Notamacropus eugenii: one gene and its partner. The protein of the gene in region 1 binds, or shares a complex with, the protein of each later gene. Links are inferred from orthologs where the notes say so. Each region holds a gene or a part of one and is shown on either strand. Other genes may lie near its edges. The genes, in order: XAB2 and PPIE.

Region 1 (8,581 bases):
TGGGAAACCCCCAACAAAGACAGTGGTCAGTGCTCCCCACCCCCCAGCCTCAAAATGCCCTTGCCCTTTCCCTTTCCAGTGCCCATTTCATCCCATGGAACCTGGTTTGGGGGTTGGGTGGCAAGGGGCAGGAAATCTTACAGTTGCATGATCTGCTGCCCACTCCCTTGGACCCTCTGCACAGCTCACCTTGAGGAAGCGGCGGTACACACGCACTGCAGTCTCAGGCAAAGGGTGGGAACGTACAAAGCGAAGATAGAGGGGCCAGATGCGAGAGTGCTGAGTGATGGGCAGAGCCCTCAGGGCACGGTCAAAGGTACGCCGGGTCCGAGTAATGCGGCCCTGCTCCATCAAGAACTGGCAGTAATCCAACCACAGCCGTGGCATCTGTAGCAAGGAGAAGGCAGAGGTCCCCTCATGCTCCCACATCTCCAGCCCTGGCCTGAGATTCCTTTTGCCCCCTGGCCCTCGTCACCAAAGGCTTACCTTGTGCATGAAGACCAAGGCCCGCTCGTGGCAGTTGTTGACATCCTCATAGGCAGGGTCAGTCACGCAGCGGCGCTTCACCTGGGCCCGGCGGGCTTTCAGGTAGTGGTACCATAGCTTGTAACTGGGTGACAGGAGAGGAAATATGCTTGTGTACACTGTCCCAGCCTTTTCCTTTTCTTTGCTCATGCTCCACTTTCCTGTACTGTGTTGCCCCATGGGGAAAGGAGAGGGAGGGGAGGTTGGAAAGTGGGAGGGACCCTCACCTCCCAGGCAGCTCCTTGAGGGCTCGCTCATACAGCAGATTGAGCACAGCCTGTGATGCACTCTGTTTGAACTCAATGTACCGAAACCAACACTTGACAGAGAAAGGGTTGCGAAGGATTTCCTCCTCATACTGCAAATCCTCTTCTTCCTAGGGAGACAAGAGGTCAGATCAGAGTTCCTCAAATAAGCCAGGCCTTCTCCTTCCCAAACCTAGCACTCTGAATCCCCTAAATCTCCACCTCCTCACCCTGATTCCCACCCCCAGAAGGCTGGTCTCTCTCTCACTGAGACAACTGTGCCACAGTGGAATGAGTCAGGAGACTCCAGGTAAAATCCCAGCTTTTATATTTCTTATGTGACCCTAGGCAAACCAGTTCAAGTTTCTGGGCCTCAGGGGATCAGATGATGTGTGTCTTCCTGTTTGAAAGCCCCACTTCAAGCACCCACTTGGTTTACTCACTAAATTCTTGTTTCCTCTCTAAGCAAGTACCCAGCTTGCAGGTCATTGGAAAAAGTGGCATATTTAGGTTTGATGACGGGAAAAACCTTCCAATAAGTGGGACTATCTCAAAGCAGAATGAGCTACCACTGGAGGTACTGGGTTTCTCCTTATCTGAAGCCCTTATCCAATGGCTAGGTGATTAAGCTTAATGGAGAAGGAATTCTTGTTCCAGTACAGGTTGGATTAGAAAGTCACTGAAGTCCCTTCCAAGTCTGAGACAGTTTGTGTCTTTCACTGGACAGATACTTCTATACGCATGCCTTGTTCTAGGATCTGTATGATAAAGCAATCTTTCAATTCTAAATCCTGCAACAGCTTATTCCCCCATATTACCTAGTCTCTGCATATGGCTCAGTGTCCCTTAGAAACACTCCCAACATCCTCTCTTTTCTCTCTATCCTCACTCATCATAGCAATAGCCTTCTCCTTGGCTCCCATCTCTCCACCTCCCACCATTCCATCAGACTTGTCAAGGGCTTGCATGCCAGTGCCAGCTCTGATGTAATCCAATTCACCCCATCTTTATTAAATACCTACTACAGCAGAGGACTTCATAGGGCTCTGACACCAGGTTCAAGTACTCACAGAATCTTAAGAGCTGGAGGGACTTCAAAGAACATCCAGTCCACACACTTATGATAATAGCTAACATTTATAGAGCACTTCCTATGGGCCAGGCACTGTGCTAAGTGCTCTAGATAATAAGGATGACAATAATAGGTAACATTCATACAGCACTTACTCTGAGCCAAGTACTGTGCTTAATGATCACAATAATAGGTAACATTCACAAAGCACTTACTATGTGCCAAGAACTTTATAATTATCATCCCTTTTGATCCCCACAACAATTAGGAAGTAGGTGCCATTATCACCCCCATTTTACAGATGAAGAAAGTGAGGCAAATAGCATTTAAGTAACTTGCCCAAAGTCACACAATTAGAAGTGTCTGAGGTTGGATTTGAACTCAGGTCTTTCTGACTTCACTCTCAGAGCTCTATCCCCAAAAGTGATCCTGCTGCCTCAGCTTGAAGATGTTCAATGATGAGACACCTCTAACTCTAAGTATGCTTTTTTCTAACATCAAACCTAGATCCACTTCTTTTAAATTTCCATCCACTGCTCTTAATTCTACCTCCTGCATCCAAGCAGGGGGAAAAACCTCTTTCTTTACAAGTTTTTCACATAGTAAGCAGGATATAACTTTGCCCCAGTCCTTGTGCAGCTTACAGTTTAAAAGAAAGGCATTAAGCTAGAAAACTACAATAGATAATGTTAGTGAGTAGGTGCAGCAGAAGGGGTACAAGGCTGGATGAGGTCTGACGGGGTGTCATTGGCTCAGGGAGAGGAGATTCAGGAAGGCTGCCTGGAGGAGGGGGCGCAAGCACCCGGCTTTAAAAGGAAGCCAGAAATTCAGAGGTGAAGAAAGGGACACAGCATCCCAGGAACCTGGGGCACACAGGCAGAAGAGCATGGCTCCTACTCCTATCGGCAGCCTCATTCTTCAAGAGGAGAATAATACGTTTGGAAAGGGGCTAGATTGTGGCAAGCCTGGCATGCCAAGCAAAGGAGTCTGAGCTCTACTGGGAAGTCGCAGATGCAAGATTCGGAGCAAATCTCAGCATCTGGTAAGAAATAAAGAGTATCACGGAGAGGGTCTTTGAGGGCATGATTCTTTTCTCTGCTCCGCTCAAGAACCTGCAATGGCTCCCTACGGCTCACTCTGGGTCTGCACCACGCCCTCGGCCGCCCCGCCCACTTAGTCTCTGACGAATAGCACAAGGAGAGGAGGAGCCTGGCTGATCCCAACCAGCGCAGCCTCCACTTCGCCCACTCCCAGGTTAGCGGGGGCTCTCTCTTGCGCCTGCGCAGTCTTCCAGGAGCTCGGAGTCGCGTCTGCGCACTCCTTGCCTCCATCGGGCCGGCGTCTCCCTATCGCAGGTTTCGGAGTCCGCCCGCTGTCCCGTGGAGCCCACTGCGTCTGTGCGCTCCTCCCGCTCGTACTCACGAAGAAGAGGTCGGGCCTCTCGGGCCGAGCCTTCAGCTTTGCCTCGGCTGCATCTGCGTCCCCGATCTCGGGCATCCCTGCGTCTTCTTCCGCTGCACTCACCAGCCCTTACGCTGTGGTCCCGCCTCCATCCGTCCTGGTACTGTTTCTCATTGGCCGGATGCAGCTCACTTCCGTGCTCTCCCTCAGAACAACTTCCGCCTGTTTAAGACTAGGGGAAGAGGCGGGACACCCTCTTCACGCTTCACTTCCGCTTTGAGCCGCTCCAGCCAATGGACTCCAGCGTCCAAGCTCGAGCTCTAGCCAATGAACGTACGTCTTGCTGCGGCGTCTAGTTTTGGGCGGATGTGGCTTCAGAGACTGGCGGAAGCAGCCGTCGGACCTAACAAGATGGGGGTGAAGCTGGAGGTTTTTCGGGTCAGTGCTGGGGCACGGGAGCGTGTGGGACAGTGCTTCTCGGGGCCCGGGTGGAGGGCAGATAGGGGTCTTTGGGGATGGAACCTAGGGGCTGAACAAGAATCCGCTGTTGACATTCCCTCCACACCCACATTACCTGACTGCCCCCTCATCTCCTGGTTAGGCAGCGTTACCTCAAGTGCAGCCTAAAGACGTCATTTCACGACCCTTCCGAGGCTCTTTATAGGGCTTTGCACGTGACAACCCTTCAAATACTTGAACCCAGCAGCCCTCTCCTCTCCCAAGTCTACTCCTGCCCTTCCCCAGCTTTCTCTTCTTCTGGCTAAACACTCCCACTTCCTTCACCCAGTCTTCAAGTGATAGGAACTCAGGAAGCTTCACCTTGAGGTCACCCTCCTCTGTCACTCCGTGATCTTAAGCTATGGTGCCTAGAACCAGGCAGACGACTCTAGATGAGATCTGATCGATGACGAGGATGATGAAGATGATGATGATGATGGTGATGATGATGATGATGATGGTGATGAGGATGAGGATGATGATGATGAGGAGGAGGAGGATGAGGATGATGATGATGATGGTGATGATGATGATGATGATGAGGATGAGGATGATGATGATGATGATGATGATGGTGATGATGATGTATTTACGTAGTGCTTTAACGTTTTGCAAAGTACATTACAAATATCTCTTTTTGTCCTTGCAAGGAAGGGAGCAAGCATCTATTAAGCGCCTGATATGTGCTGAGTGCTTTACAAATAGCATCTCATTTAATCGTCACAACAACCCTGGGATGCAGGTAGTTATTACCCTTTTTACAGATGAGGACACCGAGGCTTAGGTTAAGCGACTGGTCCAGGGCATAGTAAGTGTTTGAGGTGGGATTTGTACCCTAAGTCCACTCTAAGGACTGCACTAGGAGACAGTGGTCCTGTCACGTCCTTATTTTGGAAACTATGGGATAGAGATTGTACTAGAGCTGTGATTTCATAGGTATAGGAAGCTCCCAGGAGGAACTCCTAACAGTACTGGTCAGCATCTTCTCTTTAACCTGTAATCACAGAGAGTGGCCTTGCATAGACAGATTAAGTGATTTGCCCAGAGTCATTCAGCCATCGTGTGTGTGCCCGTGTGTGTTTTATAAATTGATTTATTTTTAAATTTTCTCTTCTCCTCCCCAAGCTGGCATGCAATCCCATATAGACTTTACATATACATTCTTATTAAACATATTTTCACATTAGTCATGTTGTATAAAAATATTGGTTGGTTGGTTGTTGTCCTGCGTTCTTGAAGAGGGCCAAAATGATATGATAAAGTGAAATTTCAGTGTGTCTGACTGTGGCTGATCAGACCAACACGAGCTTAGAGTGCTGTACTGCAGGTTGGGCACAAATAGTCCATGTGAATATTTGGGGTGGATACTCCAAATTTATGCATCTTACGTTTACTTAGTGCTGTCTCAATTCTGCTTTGCTCATACATACAGCACAGCACCCTTTCTGATGTGGGCATGCCATGCTGAGTGGTCCTGTTCCAGTGTCTCCTATGTTGCACGGTCAAATCCAAAGTTTTCAAGAGAGACCTTGAGAGTGTCCTTGTATCTCTTCTTCTGAATTAGACTGAAATAGAGGAACCATGAGAAAGAAAAAAACGAACGTAAACTAAACAAAAAAAGATCTGCATTCAGACTCCCTCTTTCTTTCTGTGGATGTGGATGGCATTTTCCATCGGAGTCTTTTGGAAGCCAGCATTTTTTAAAGCCTGAACTTGACCCAGCTCTTGCTTGCTCCAACACTGTCTGGCCACTGTTCCACACTGTCTCTTGCCTTATCTTTTTTAACTCTCTTAACATCTTCCCAAAATGGAATTAGTTTTTTTTGGATGGCCACATCTCACTGCTGATTTATTGAGTTCTCTAAAAACATCCAGTTTTTTTCTCAAACTTCCATTGTGAAGTTAATTTTTTTTTAACTCAAGTCTAAGACTTTACATTTGTCCATATTGAATTTCATTTTATTAGCCTTAACTCATTGTTCCTGCATGTCAAGATCTTTTTTGGATCCTGATCTTGCCATATAGTATGTTAACTGTTCTTATCTAGTTCCCAGTTCTGTGTTATCTACAGACTTGATGAGCATGCTATCTATTCCTTTGTCTAAGTATTTGGTTAAAAATGCTAAATAACCCACCTTGGGCCACTCAGGCCACTTCACTGGAGACCTTCTGTTTATTGACATTGAACTCCTAATGACTCGTCTTTTGAGTCTGATCTTTCATCTAGTTTTAAATCTACCTAATTGTATTATAGGGCAGCTAGATGGCACAGTGGATAAAGTGCTGGGCCTACAGTGAGGAAGACTCCTTGAACTGAGTTCAAATCTGGCCTCAAACATCCAGTAGCTGTGTGACCCTGGACAAGTGACTTCACCCCAGTTTGCCTCAGTTTCTTCATCTGTTAAATGAGCTGGAGAAGGAAATGGCAAACCACTCCGGTATCTTTGCCAAGAAAATTCCAAATGGGGCCATGAGGAGTTGGCCGTGACTGATCAACAACAAATTGTATCGTAGTCTAGTCCATGTTTTCCTCAAGAATGGAATAAGATACTTTACCAAATGCTTTGTGAAGATCCAAGTAAACTCTATCTACAATTTAAGCTATTAATCACTTTCAGAAAAGAAAAGAAAATTCGCCTGGCATGACCTGTCCTTGAAGCTGAACTGGCTCTTTTCAGTCACTGCTTCCTTGTCTGGATGGTTCCTAGCCATCCACTGTGGTATTTTAGAATTTCCCCAAGAACTGAAGTCAAGCTGAGTGGCTCATAATTGACAGGTTTTCTTCTCTTCTTTGATGAAGCTTTGAACTTGTTGGGGGGTGTTATAGAGGGGAATCTTGTTAAGGTGTGAGCTGAACTGAATTTGTTCTGAGGTCCCTGCTAGTTCCAGGATTCTTGATTTTGAATTGTCCAGTTTGCCTGGAAGGGAGTAAATGAGAGAAGTTTGTAAAGGCAGAATGACCCAAGATAGGAGAGGGTCTTTCTTGTCAAGCAAAGTAGTTTGAACTTTACTTGGTAGCCTGTAAGGAGTCACTGAAAATCTTTGAGTCAAATGACACGAGCAGATCTGTGTGGAAGGAAGATTATTCCAACAGTGTTGTGAAGGATAGCTTAGAGGCCAGGAAAGAAGGAAATCAGGAATTCAATTCAATTCTAGAAGCATTTACTGAGTACTTACTGAGTACATGCCACCAGGTGCTAGGATACAAAGACAAAAACAATTCAGTGCCTGCCTTCAAGGATTTTACAGCAGGGGGTGGGTGTGGGAGAAGGATAGATAAGGAAATACAGAATATATACAAAATAACAATGGGCAGCATTAACAATTGGAGGAAGCAGGAAAGTTCTCCTGGAGGTGGTGGTGCTTGAGCCCCACTGAAGGAAGATGGGGGTGCCAGGGTACAGAGGAGATGACACGGAGCCTGCTAGGTATGGGAGATGTGGAAAGAGGAGACAGAATTTCATTCGTGGGGAGCATCAAGTTGGCCAGTGTGGCAGGAGGGTAAAATGGGTGAGGGGAATAATGTAAAATGTTATAATATGGAAATTTGAAGGGAGAAGTGAGAGCCAGATTGGAGGGGGCTTTAAATGCCAAACAGAAGAGTTGGCATTTTATCCCAGAAGCAATAGGGAGCCACTCACGCTTCCCCAGCTTGGGGAGGTTCAGTGGTTCCCTGCTGATTCTGAAACAATGTAGAATAATGGATTAAGAGATAGGCAGACATGGATTCAAATCTAGCCTCAGTTACTAACTGTATGGCCTTGAAGGGCAAATGACTTCTCTGGGTCAGTGTCCTATGCTTTATGAATATGAAGCTGTATGGACTGTAGGAGAGGAGATTGGAGGCAAGGAGGCCAATTAGGAGGCTGTTGCAATAGTTCAATAGAAAGTAATGAAGGACTTCCTAGGGTGGTGGAAATGTGAGCAGAGAGAAAGGGATAATAAGAACAACAGTAACTGACAGTAATATAGGACCTACTATGTGCAAGGCACTTTTCAATTATTATCTCATTGTGTCCTCACAACAGTCCTGACAAGTAGGTGCTGCTATTATACCCATGTTACAGTTGAGGAAACTGAGGCTAAAAGAGATTACATGACTTGCTCAGGATCACACTGCCAGGAAGTGTTTGAGGCTGGATTTGAACTCAAGTCTTCCTGAATGCCGGTCTGGCACTGCTTTCTCTGCATCAGCTAGCTGCCTCAATGTAACTGTCAATAGGAACTGGTAACTGGATGAGAGAGGTGAATAGTTAAATGTAACCCACAAAGAAATTTATTTTGGATTGAGGTTACTTTGTATCCATCCTCTATGTTTCTTGTATATATCTCTTTGTACACCTTACATGACTTTAGAATGTAAGTTTCACGAGGGCAGGCGATTTTTCACTTCCTTTTTATTCCCAGTACTGAGCACGGTGCTAGCACGTAGCAGGTGTAAATACCATCAAGGCTTCTTGATTAGGTGGAAAAGGAAAACTCACAGTTAAAAAGTACCAAAGCCCAGATCCTAACTTTGTCACTTACCATCTTTCTGACCTTGGGCAAAAACAATTGACAAATTTCACGTTAGTGTTTGCAAACTGCTGTTGGGACACCTGCCCTGTGAGGTGAGGGGTTTGATTATTATTGTATTTGTTTTGAGGAAATTGAGGTGCTGACAGGCTTTGTGACTTGGCTACGATGACCCAGCTGGTAGGAAGTCACATAACCTTAATTTCCTCCTTTGTAAAATTCAGTTAATTTGCACCATTTACTTCATAGGGTTATTGTGAATGACGACTTGATTTGTTGTTGTTCGGTTGTTGCAGTGTCCAACTCTTTGTGACCCCACTTGGGG
Region 2 (8,335 bases), on another chromosome or scaffold:
GAGACAGGATGATGTGCATGGAGAACAGCTGGTCATCCCACTGGGCCCAAGTGTAAGAGATCCCATTAATACAAGGGCTTAAGACCAGCAAAGCACTTTACATACCTTATTCTATATGAACTTTACAACAACCTTGTGAGGCTGGTGCAAATATTATCGTCATTTTACAGATAAGGAAACTGAAGCTCACAGAGATGGAAGGATTTAGCCAGAATGACACAGCTCTTAAATATATGAGATGGGATATGAACCCTGGTCTTCCCAAACCTCAGTTCAGTGCCCTCCCTACCATACCACTGATCTGATGGTTCCCAGAACCCGGTTCTTCAGTCAAGGCACAGCTGTTCCCCCCATGTTACAACAAGTCAGAGTGTAGTTTTCCTTTGATACTTCTGAACTCTTCTCCCTAAGATAAAGAAAAAGAAGTAATAAACATGTTCACCTGTTTCATAATCCAGCGGTATCTGAATGTCTGTGATGTCTCCAAAAGGGATAAAAGCAGCATGAAGGACCTTCTCATCCACCTCCTCTGCAAGGCCCCCTACAAATGAAGCAAAGGCATCCTTTTCAATTCTCTTCCATGTATGCTCCAGCCCTATGGTTAGGGACAAGAGTCCAACTCAAAGTCTAAGTGGATGGGCTTGCACCAAGTGACCTACAGTGTCCCTTAGAGCTAACAGCTCTAAATCCATGACACTGTGTGCCAGTAATGTGCTTGATGCACCTGACAGGCTACGCCCTACGTGTATGCAATAACAACAGCTAACACTTATTTATCACTTACTCTGTCTCAGGCACTTGGTAAGCACTTTACAATCATTATCTCATTTGATCCTCACCACAATCTTGGAAGGTAGGGGCTATTATATTCCCCATTTTTTCATTTGAGGAAAATGAGGCAAACAAGTGACTTGCTCAGGATCATCCAGCTAGATCTCCCATCTCCATGCCTTTGCACATGCCTGGAAATCACCAACTCCCCCCTTCTATCAAAATCCCTGATTCCTTCACAGTTCAGCTCACGGACCACCTTCTGCACTACACCTTTCCCTGCCGTGTCATATTTTGCATGTACTTATATATGTACATGCTGTCTCCTTGGGCAGACTGTACGCTCCTGGGAGAACAGGGACTGTTTACCTTTTGTGTTCTGTAATCCTCAGGGCAGCGCAGCACAATGGGAAGGGGCTTCTGAAAATGCCTGCCCAGGGAAGGGTTTTAAGCACAAAAATGACAGGGTCAGACGGATTCCTTAGAAAGTCTAGTCTGAGCTAAACAGGTCCCAGTGAAGGGGAGAGAAACTGGAAAGCAAGCAGGGATTTGCAATGTTGTCCTTCACAGGGGAGGTCCTTCTCATGGTGGAGAAAGCCATCTGCATCCAGGGAAAGAACTATGGAGTCTGAATGCAGAGTGAAGCAGACTATTTTCTTTCTTTCTCATGGTTCTGATAAGGTGCTTGGGTGCCTGAGCTTGAACCCCAACTTTAAAATAACATCTCTCTAAAAATCACATTTCTCCCTATCCTCAAAACAATCTCACGCAGTTTCTCCCCAGCCCAAGGACACAGCCTGGCCTAGCAAAACTTGTATCTCCCTTCCTGATACAGCAGCCAGCTGCACCAATAGAATTTATTAGTCTGAACCAGCTGTGTACTGGCTGAATGGACTGTGCACTGGGTCGTAACGATGTTTTCTACTCACTGACCAATCATATGTGTCCTAGACTTAGACATACGTATACTCCATTACATTTATCTTGTCTAACAAGACACTGATGAGAGCAGCCTGGCATTCCTGAGTCAGTCCCGACCCTCAGTTGACTTGGTGATGTTTCAGGCCTAAAACCACACCTCCATGTAGCACCCCTCTTGGGTTATTTCCCAATGGACTCTGGGTAAAATATCTGCACAGTCGACCCTGAAAGTGCATGTTCCTTTAAGAACGAATCACCCCTTAACCACTCCCTAATCCTGCCCTGAATCACCTAGTCCTCACACTTGGCACATGTTTTACAATAAAATATCCTCTATAAACTTTAACTGTACTCCACTCAAATCACAGGTTCCTTAAGAATTCTTGGCCACTGAGAAGTGTAATAAATCTTTACTTTGACCTCAAGAAGGCTTGAGACCATGCATGGATTCCTTCCAGGTGACCTGCCCCTGGTACCCTGGTCTTTGTAAGGGTCTCACTGCCCCCTTCCAGCCCTCATCAGTGCCTCCCATTCATCTAATTCTTCTATACAACATGACTAATGTGAAAATATGCTTAATAGGAATATATATGCAGCATGCTGTCTCGAGGAGAGGAGGGAGGAAGGAGGGGAACAAATTTAAAATTTATGAAAGTGAATGTTGAAAACTAAAAATAAATAAATGTAAAAAAATATAAAATTTTTAAAAAAGGCTGGGGAAGTTCCTTGGTGAACAAGCATTCGGTCACTCTATTAATGTCTACTATGTTCCCTTCTCAGCTAGGCAGCAGAGCGGAGAGAGGGCCAGGTCTGGAGTTAGGGAGATCTGAGTTCAAATCTGGCCTGGTCAAGTCACTTCATTCTGCCTCCCTCAGTTTCCCCATCTGTAAAATGAGCTGGAAAGGGAAATGGCAAACCACTCCAAGATCTTTGCCAAGAAAACCCCCAGTGGGGTCAGGAATACTCGGACCCGTGTCCTCAGACTCCCTTGCAGCTGGGACAACCGTCTTTTAGGTCCCCAACACTTAGTAGGGGTTTGGCACACAACAGGCATTTAATAAATGGTGCAGGCTGCGCTGCGGGCTCCAGGGTGACACCTTTTGCCTGCCTACAGGTGAGGGGCGTGTCCTCACCCGGGAGTACCCTGGACCACGGAAATTACAGGTCCAGCCCCCATCCCCAGTGCCACAGGCAGCATTTATTAATCGCCAGTTTGAAGGCTACTTCCTGCAGGGGGATACACCAGCAGGCAAAGGTAACCTACAAGTAAAAGAACGCTTACACAACTGAACCGCGTGACCCCTTCAGCACCCAACCACGGAGCGCAGAGCGCGCCCCGCCCCTCAGCCCCGCCTCCAATCACTCGCCCCGCCCCCAGCACAAACTGAGCTGGGTCCCACCCCCGAGCTGTCAGCCAAGTCTCGCGATAGCTAGCCCCGCACAATCTCTCCCTTGTCCTACCAGGCCTGAGGGCCAAGGCCTCCCTCCAGACTCTCCTCACCGGCCCAGCATCCCTAGGCCAGGTAGAAAACCACTCCTGCTGGAACCTCGACCTCTGCCCCCACCCAGTGCGGTGAAATTCCACTCACCTACATATAGGACCCGCTTGGTGGCGGCCATCTTGCGTCGGGCTACGAGGCGGAAGTCGACGACTCCCTCCGCCCCTATTTCCGCCCACGCCCAGTAGCAGAGGGCGTTGCGTTCCTCGGAGTCCCGCCGCAGCCATAGGCTGGCCGAGCTAAGAGGAGGCTTTGTGCGCAGGCGCAGCCTGGGGCCGACGTGGCGTCACCAATCGCGCTTTTCTTTGAGGAGATTGGAGTGGAAGAGAAAGGAGTGAATGGGCGGCCTTAGATGTTTGCCGTGGCGCTTAGCTACTCACTTGAGAGAGTGGTTTTTTAATGCGTGCCCACCAGAAGCCCACGTTGTAGGGCACTCGCCAATGACCCGGCCGCGGTGCCCGGGGGGCGGCCTCTGGGCGGGGCCCCGGGACGTTGTGCGCTCTGACGTCATGTCCTGGGCTTGCGTGAGGGAACGGCCGGCCCGCTTGGCCCGTCTAGCAACGCGGGAATTCCACCGAAGATGAAAACGCGTGTTGGGGGAGGGGACGACCACTGTCCCGGAGTCGGGTCCGGAGGGTCCAGTCCCGCCTCCGACACGTCCTCGCTGCGGCGTCTCACCCTGTTTGCCTCAGTTTCCTCATCTGTAAAATGCGCTGGGGAAGGGAATGGCCGACCCCTCCAGTGTCTGGCCGGAACACCCCGGGGGGTCGCACACCAGAGCTAAAAGGGGGGCTAGCGGGCCTTTTGTTCTCCTTGTGGTTCTTGGCACATCGGAGGAAAGGGGGGGGCGGGCACTGGAGGCGGATGGCGCCCGGCGCTGCCACTGTGGGCACTGAAGTTCCTCCTGAGTGCTTGAGAAGGACTCGGGCAGTCACAAGCAATCTTTCAGCTCCCCTCACCCACAGGAGGGGCAGTGCCAGCGGGCATCTCTCAGGACTGGCTTCCGTGACCTGGGAGGCTGGTCCTCTGGGGCCAGAGAGGGGCAAAGTGTCCCCATATTTTAAAAAGGGAGGAAAGGATCTGACAGTGCAGGCCAGTGAGGCTGGTTTAATTTTGGTCGAAGATCTAGAGGAGGATCTAGAGAGATGATCACAGAGAGAGCTGGCCTGCCTTGTGATGGGTTTTGACAGGCTCCAAGATAAATGAGAAGAATGCTCTGTGGTTTACCCAGATTTTCGCAGAGCTTCTGAGAGTTATTTAATAGGATTCTTGTGGAAATGATGGGGCTCCATAATGCTAATTTGTTGGATTTGGAACTGGTTGGACTCAACTTGAAGGGCACTGTTTGGTACAGGGTCCCAGGAATCTGTGCTTGGCCCTGTGATATTTAACATTTTTATCGGTGATCTTAATAAAAAGCAAAGATATTGAGAAGACACCTTACCCCCTCATTTATAGAGAAGAAGGCTGGTGGGATGGGAAGGATCAGCTTTTTTTTCATTAGAGTGAAGTTATTTTTTAAGGATGTATAAACATATAGACACATCTACGGCTTTATTTGTCCTATCTAGTTTAAATCCATCCTAAAGTAGAAATCACTAGGCATTAATAATTAGATTCTGGAATTTAACACATCCAGCCAATAAAAACAATCTTTAAAAAAGTTACACAAACCAGATCTGCAACTCATACAAAGGTGGGTGGGGTAACATTGATTGAAGTTCAGGATGCAAAATGATCTTGATGAGGTAAAACATTGGCCTAATCTAAAACAGATGAAAGTAAAGTCTTACTTTATTTGGGTTAAAAGAACCAACTTCACAAGTACAATAGGACAGGCTTGGTTAGATTAGTAATGCTAGATGTCCATTTGTCAAAATGTTGATTATGAAGACTAGAGAGAAACAGTGAGAACTCTTCCAACTCTAGAATTCTGATTGGTTTATCTGACAAAAAGACCTGTGAGTTTGGGTGAGCTAAAGTGCAATGAATCCGCAGTATGAGATGACCGAAAGAAAACCCAAGTTAGTCTTGGACTGAATGAAGACAAGCTTTAAGGAACAGTCCCTCCCCTTCTGCCACTCTTGTTGGACCACATTTGAAATAGTGATGTTCTGGGTGCCATAATTTGGGAAGGATGCTGATGAGCTGCAAAGCATACAGAGTAAAGTAACCAAAATGGAAAAAGGTCTATGCCAAGAAAATCAGTAAGCTTTCTAGTAGGGAATTATTTCTTCAATTACTTTGAAGCCCTTCAGTTTTAGAGCTTCACTGAATAATCTTGCTCAAAGGGTAGCATCCGACCAAAGGGTGTCGCTTCACAATTACAAAAGTTAGAAGGAACCTGAGGCGTCTTTGAACATCCCAGTCAAATGATCACCCAAACGTAGCTTCAGAAACTCTGGCAAAGGGGAAGCCATTAACTCCAAAGACAGCTCATACATTCCAAAAACTTCTTACCAGGGAACAGTTTGAACTACTGAACCCAAGTCTCAGTTCCCTGACTTAATGAATAAACATCTTCAAATTCTAAAACTATTAAAGAGGGGCTCAAAGGATTTTACATTCACAAGTGTACAGGTCACGTGGGGTTGGCAAGCTATCGGTGCCAGGATGGGCTACAATAGAACTGTGGAGTTGAATAGCTACCACTCATTACAAAGTGGGTGGTGCTCAAGATTTTCAAGAACTCCTGCATCTTTCCTCCAGAAGCCACATTTCAGCTTGCCGCATTTCTGGGGATGTGCAGTTTTGGTCTTTGGACAAGCTAGTGATTACTAGCTGTAGATTCCCAGGCAGCTTGTAGGACTAATTTTTTTAGTGCTCCCAGAGGCTGTGGCCTCATTCATTTGGTTTCTTCAAACATGGTTTGTTGACAGTTCAACCTGTCCTTCTAGACTACCCTTATTAAACAAGGAATGGTTTACCCTTGAGGTAAATACCTGAGTGGGAATTCCTCCACGGGACAAATTGAATTGAATGTTACAGATACATTAGTAATAAGTGTATTTGGCAAACGTTAAGCATATTGATTCAAAAGCTAATGCACCCCAGAATTCTAGGATTTTTTGCTTCTAAACATCTTCTGGTATCCATTCTCCAATTAAGGAATATGAATAGGAAATTTTTAGAGAAGAATTCTAAGCTATAAATGACCACATGAATAGATGCTTTAAATTAATATTAGAGAAATGTAAATGAAAACAACTATGAGGTACTATCTCATACCCACCAGATTGGCAAAGATGACAAAAATGGAAAATCATAGCTGGAAGGGGTTGTGGGAAAACAGGTGCACTGCAAGTAAAGTGGTGAACTAGCTCAAACATTCTAGAAAGCAATTTGGAACTACCCCCCTCAAAACTGCATACTTTGATCCAGAAACACCAGGTCTGTATCCCAGAGATCAAAGCACAAGTGGTGGAAAAGAATCAGAAACTGAGGAGGATGTTCTTCAGTTGGGGATATGATGGAATACTATTGACTTTGACAACACTGATCAATACATTACCCAACTACAGCTTCAAAAGATGTGATGAAACATGCTTATGATACAGAGCTGACAGACTTAACAGCAAATTGAGGCATATTTTGTTTTTTTAGACAAGGCTGAGGGAATGTTTTGCATCACTGTACGTAACTGTAATGGGTTTTGTTTTTTTTTTCCTTGAATAGGTAAAGGAAGGAGGATGAGAATTTGGAACTTAAAATTGTAAAAAAATCTTTAGTTGTGTTCTTGCTCATACAGTACTTAGTAGGTCCCAATACTTCAAATGATCAGTCATCCAAAATTTATTAAAGTCCCTACTAGGAGGCAGCTGGATAGCACAGCAAACAGAATATGTAATTGTAAGCCATCTGACATGGTAGTCAGCCCTGTCAGTGGAAATTGTGACTCAACCACACCACCTCATCCAGTTTAATACTTTTGAGCTAGTGTAATCCTGATTCTTTAAGGAGATTTGTGATGTACTAAAATATGACATTTCACAATTTAAAAAGTCCAACTCTTAAAACTCAGGTTTCATATCTCTACTTGTTGCATGAAGCCTGCGCTGCCAAAGCCAACTCAGCACATGCCTCCGATAGTGTGGCATTGGGTCAAAACTACCAACTTCACATGGCAAAGAGTGGAGCAACAGGCAAAGCTACGTACAACATTTATAAGCACAGGTGCTATCATCCTTAGAAAATGAGGTAGATAAGATTACGCATCCCCAAAAGGTCATAGATACTACGTGACACCACAGACTCCAGATCCCCTCTACTTCCAGATGGTCACTAGGCTGGCCTTTTGGAATGGATTATGTATTAAACTGAATAAAAAGCATACTATAAAGTTTGCTATTAAAGGAAGCTATAGTTCAGATGACCCTGTGGCACTACTTCAATAATATCCAAAAGCAATGCCACTTTCTAAATAAAAATTCGTTTTCTGACCCCTGAAACGTTCTTTGAAGTTCCCCATGCAAGCATTTAAGTCCAGTCTTGGCTTGAAACTTGGTAAAAAACTATTCATTGTACATAACTGAAGCCAATATAAACATTTCCTATTTATGAGGAGCTTTTGGGTTCTAATGTGACAGTTCAAGTGTGACAGGATCATATTTTAACATGTCAATTTAATGACAACCCCAAACAGTCCTCCTCATTACCTAGGAAATAGCAAACTGCTTGGAAAACCAGAACAAACAAGGAATAACAAACTATCTGTGCAATTCCATTCTGACTTATTTGTGTTCCTAAGACTCCTTCCAGTGAAAACTTGGACTTATTTTTGACATAAGTCAAATAAACTCCAGTAGAGTTTGAAAATATGGGAATAAAAATAAAGAGGCAATTTATGAAGGTTTTACTTCTTTATTGAGAAACACTTTTCCAGACTCTGTAAATTGGATACGTCAAATAAAACCAATTCCTGATAAAACCAAAACAAAAATACTGTCAGAAAAGCTTTTTTAGAAGAGAAAAATTAAATAAAATTAAATTAAAGATTAACAGGGTCCAGGCAACACACAAGAAACCTGCCCATTTTGACCACTGGAAAACTTCTTAGGGTTTTAAGAATTGACCTTTCAAGTTGATTTTTTCAAAAGAAAAAATCTCCAGAATGGCAGCAGCTTCTTCTGCCATGTCTTGTTCAG

Evidence for each region.
Region 2: XAB2 (region 1) and PPIE share a complex: the UniProt entries of both Homo sapiens proteins name them as parts of the XAB2 complex. The link is inferred for Notamacropus eugenii from reciprocal best matches to the Homo sapiens genes XAB2 and PPIE.

Annotation. Positions count from the first base shown.
Region 1 is NC_092875.1:51,394,210-51,402,790, forward strand, and holds the start of XAB2 (pre-mRNA-splicing factor SYF1), read right to left. Parts: upstream 3,367-8,581; 5' UTR 3,340-3,366; coding exon 3,265-3,339; intron 902-3,264; coding exon 753-901; intron 611-752; coding exon 487-610; intron 388-486; coding exon 190-387; intron 1-189. Other genes in the region: protein PET100 homolog, mitochondrial, read left to right, coding at 3,571-3,681. UniProt on the Homo sapiens protein: Involved in pre-mRNA splicing as component of the spliceosome. Involved in transcription-coupled repair (TCR), transcription and pre-mRNA splicing.
Region 2 is NC_092876.1:79,571,020-79,579,354, reverse strand, and holds the start of PPIE (peptidyl-prolyl cis-trans isomerase E), read right to left. Parts: upstream 3,692-8,335; 5' UTR 3,313-3,691; coding exon 3,282-3,312; intron 542-3,281; coding exon 443-541; intron 407-442; exon of another isoform or gene 295-406; intron 1-294. UniProt on the Homo sapiens protein: Involved in pre-mRNA splicing as component of the spliceosome. Combines RNA-binding and PPIase activities.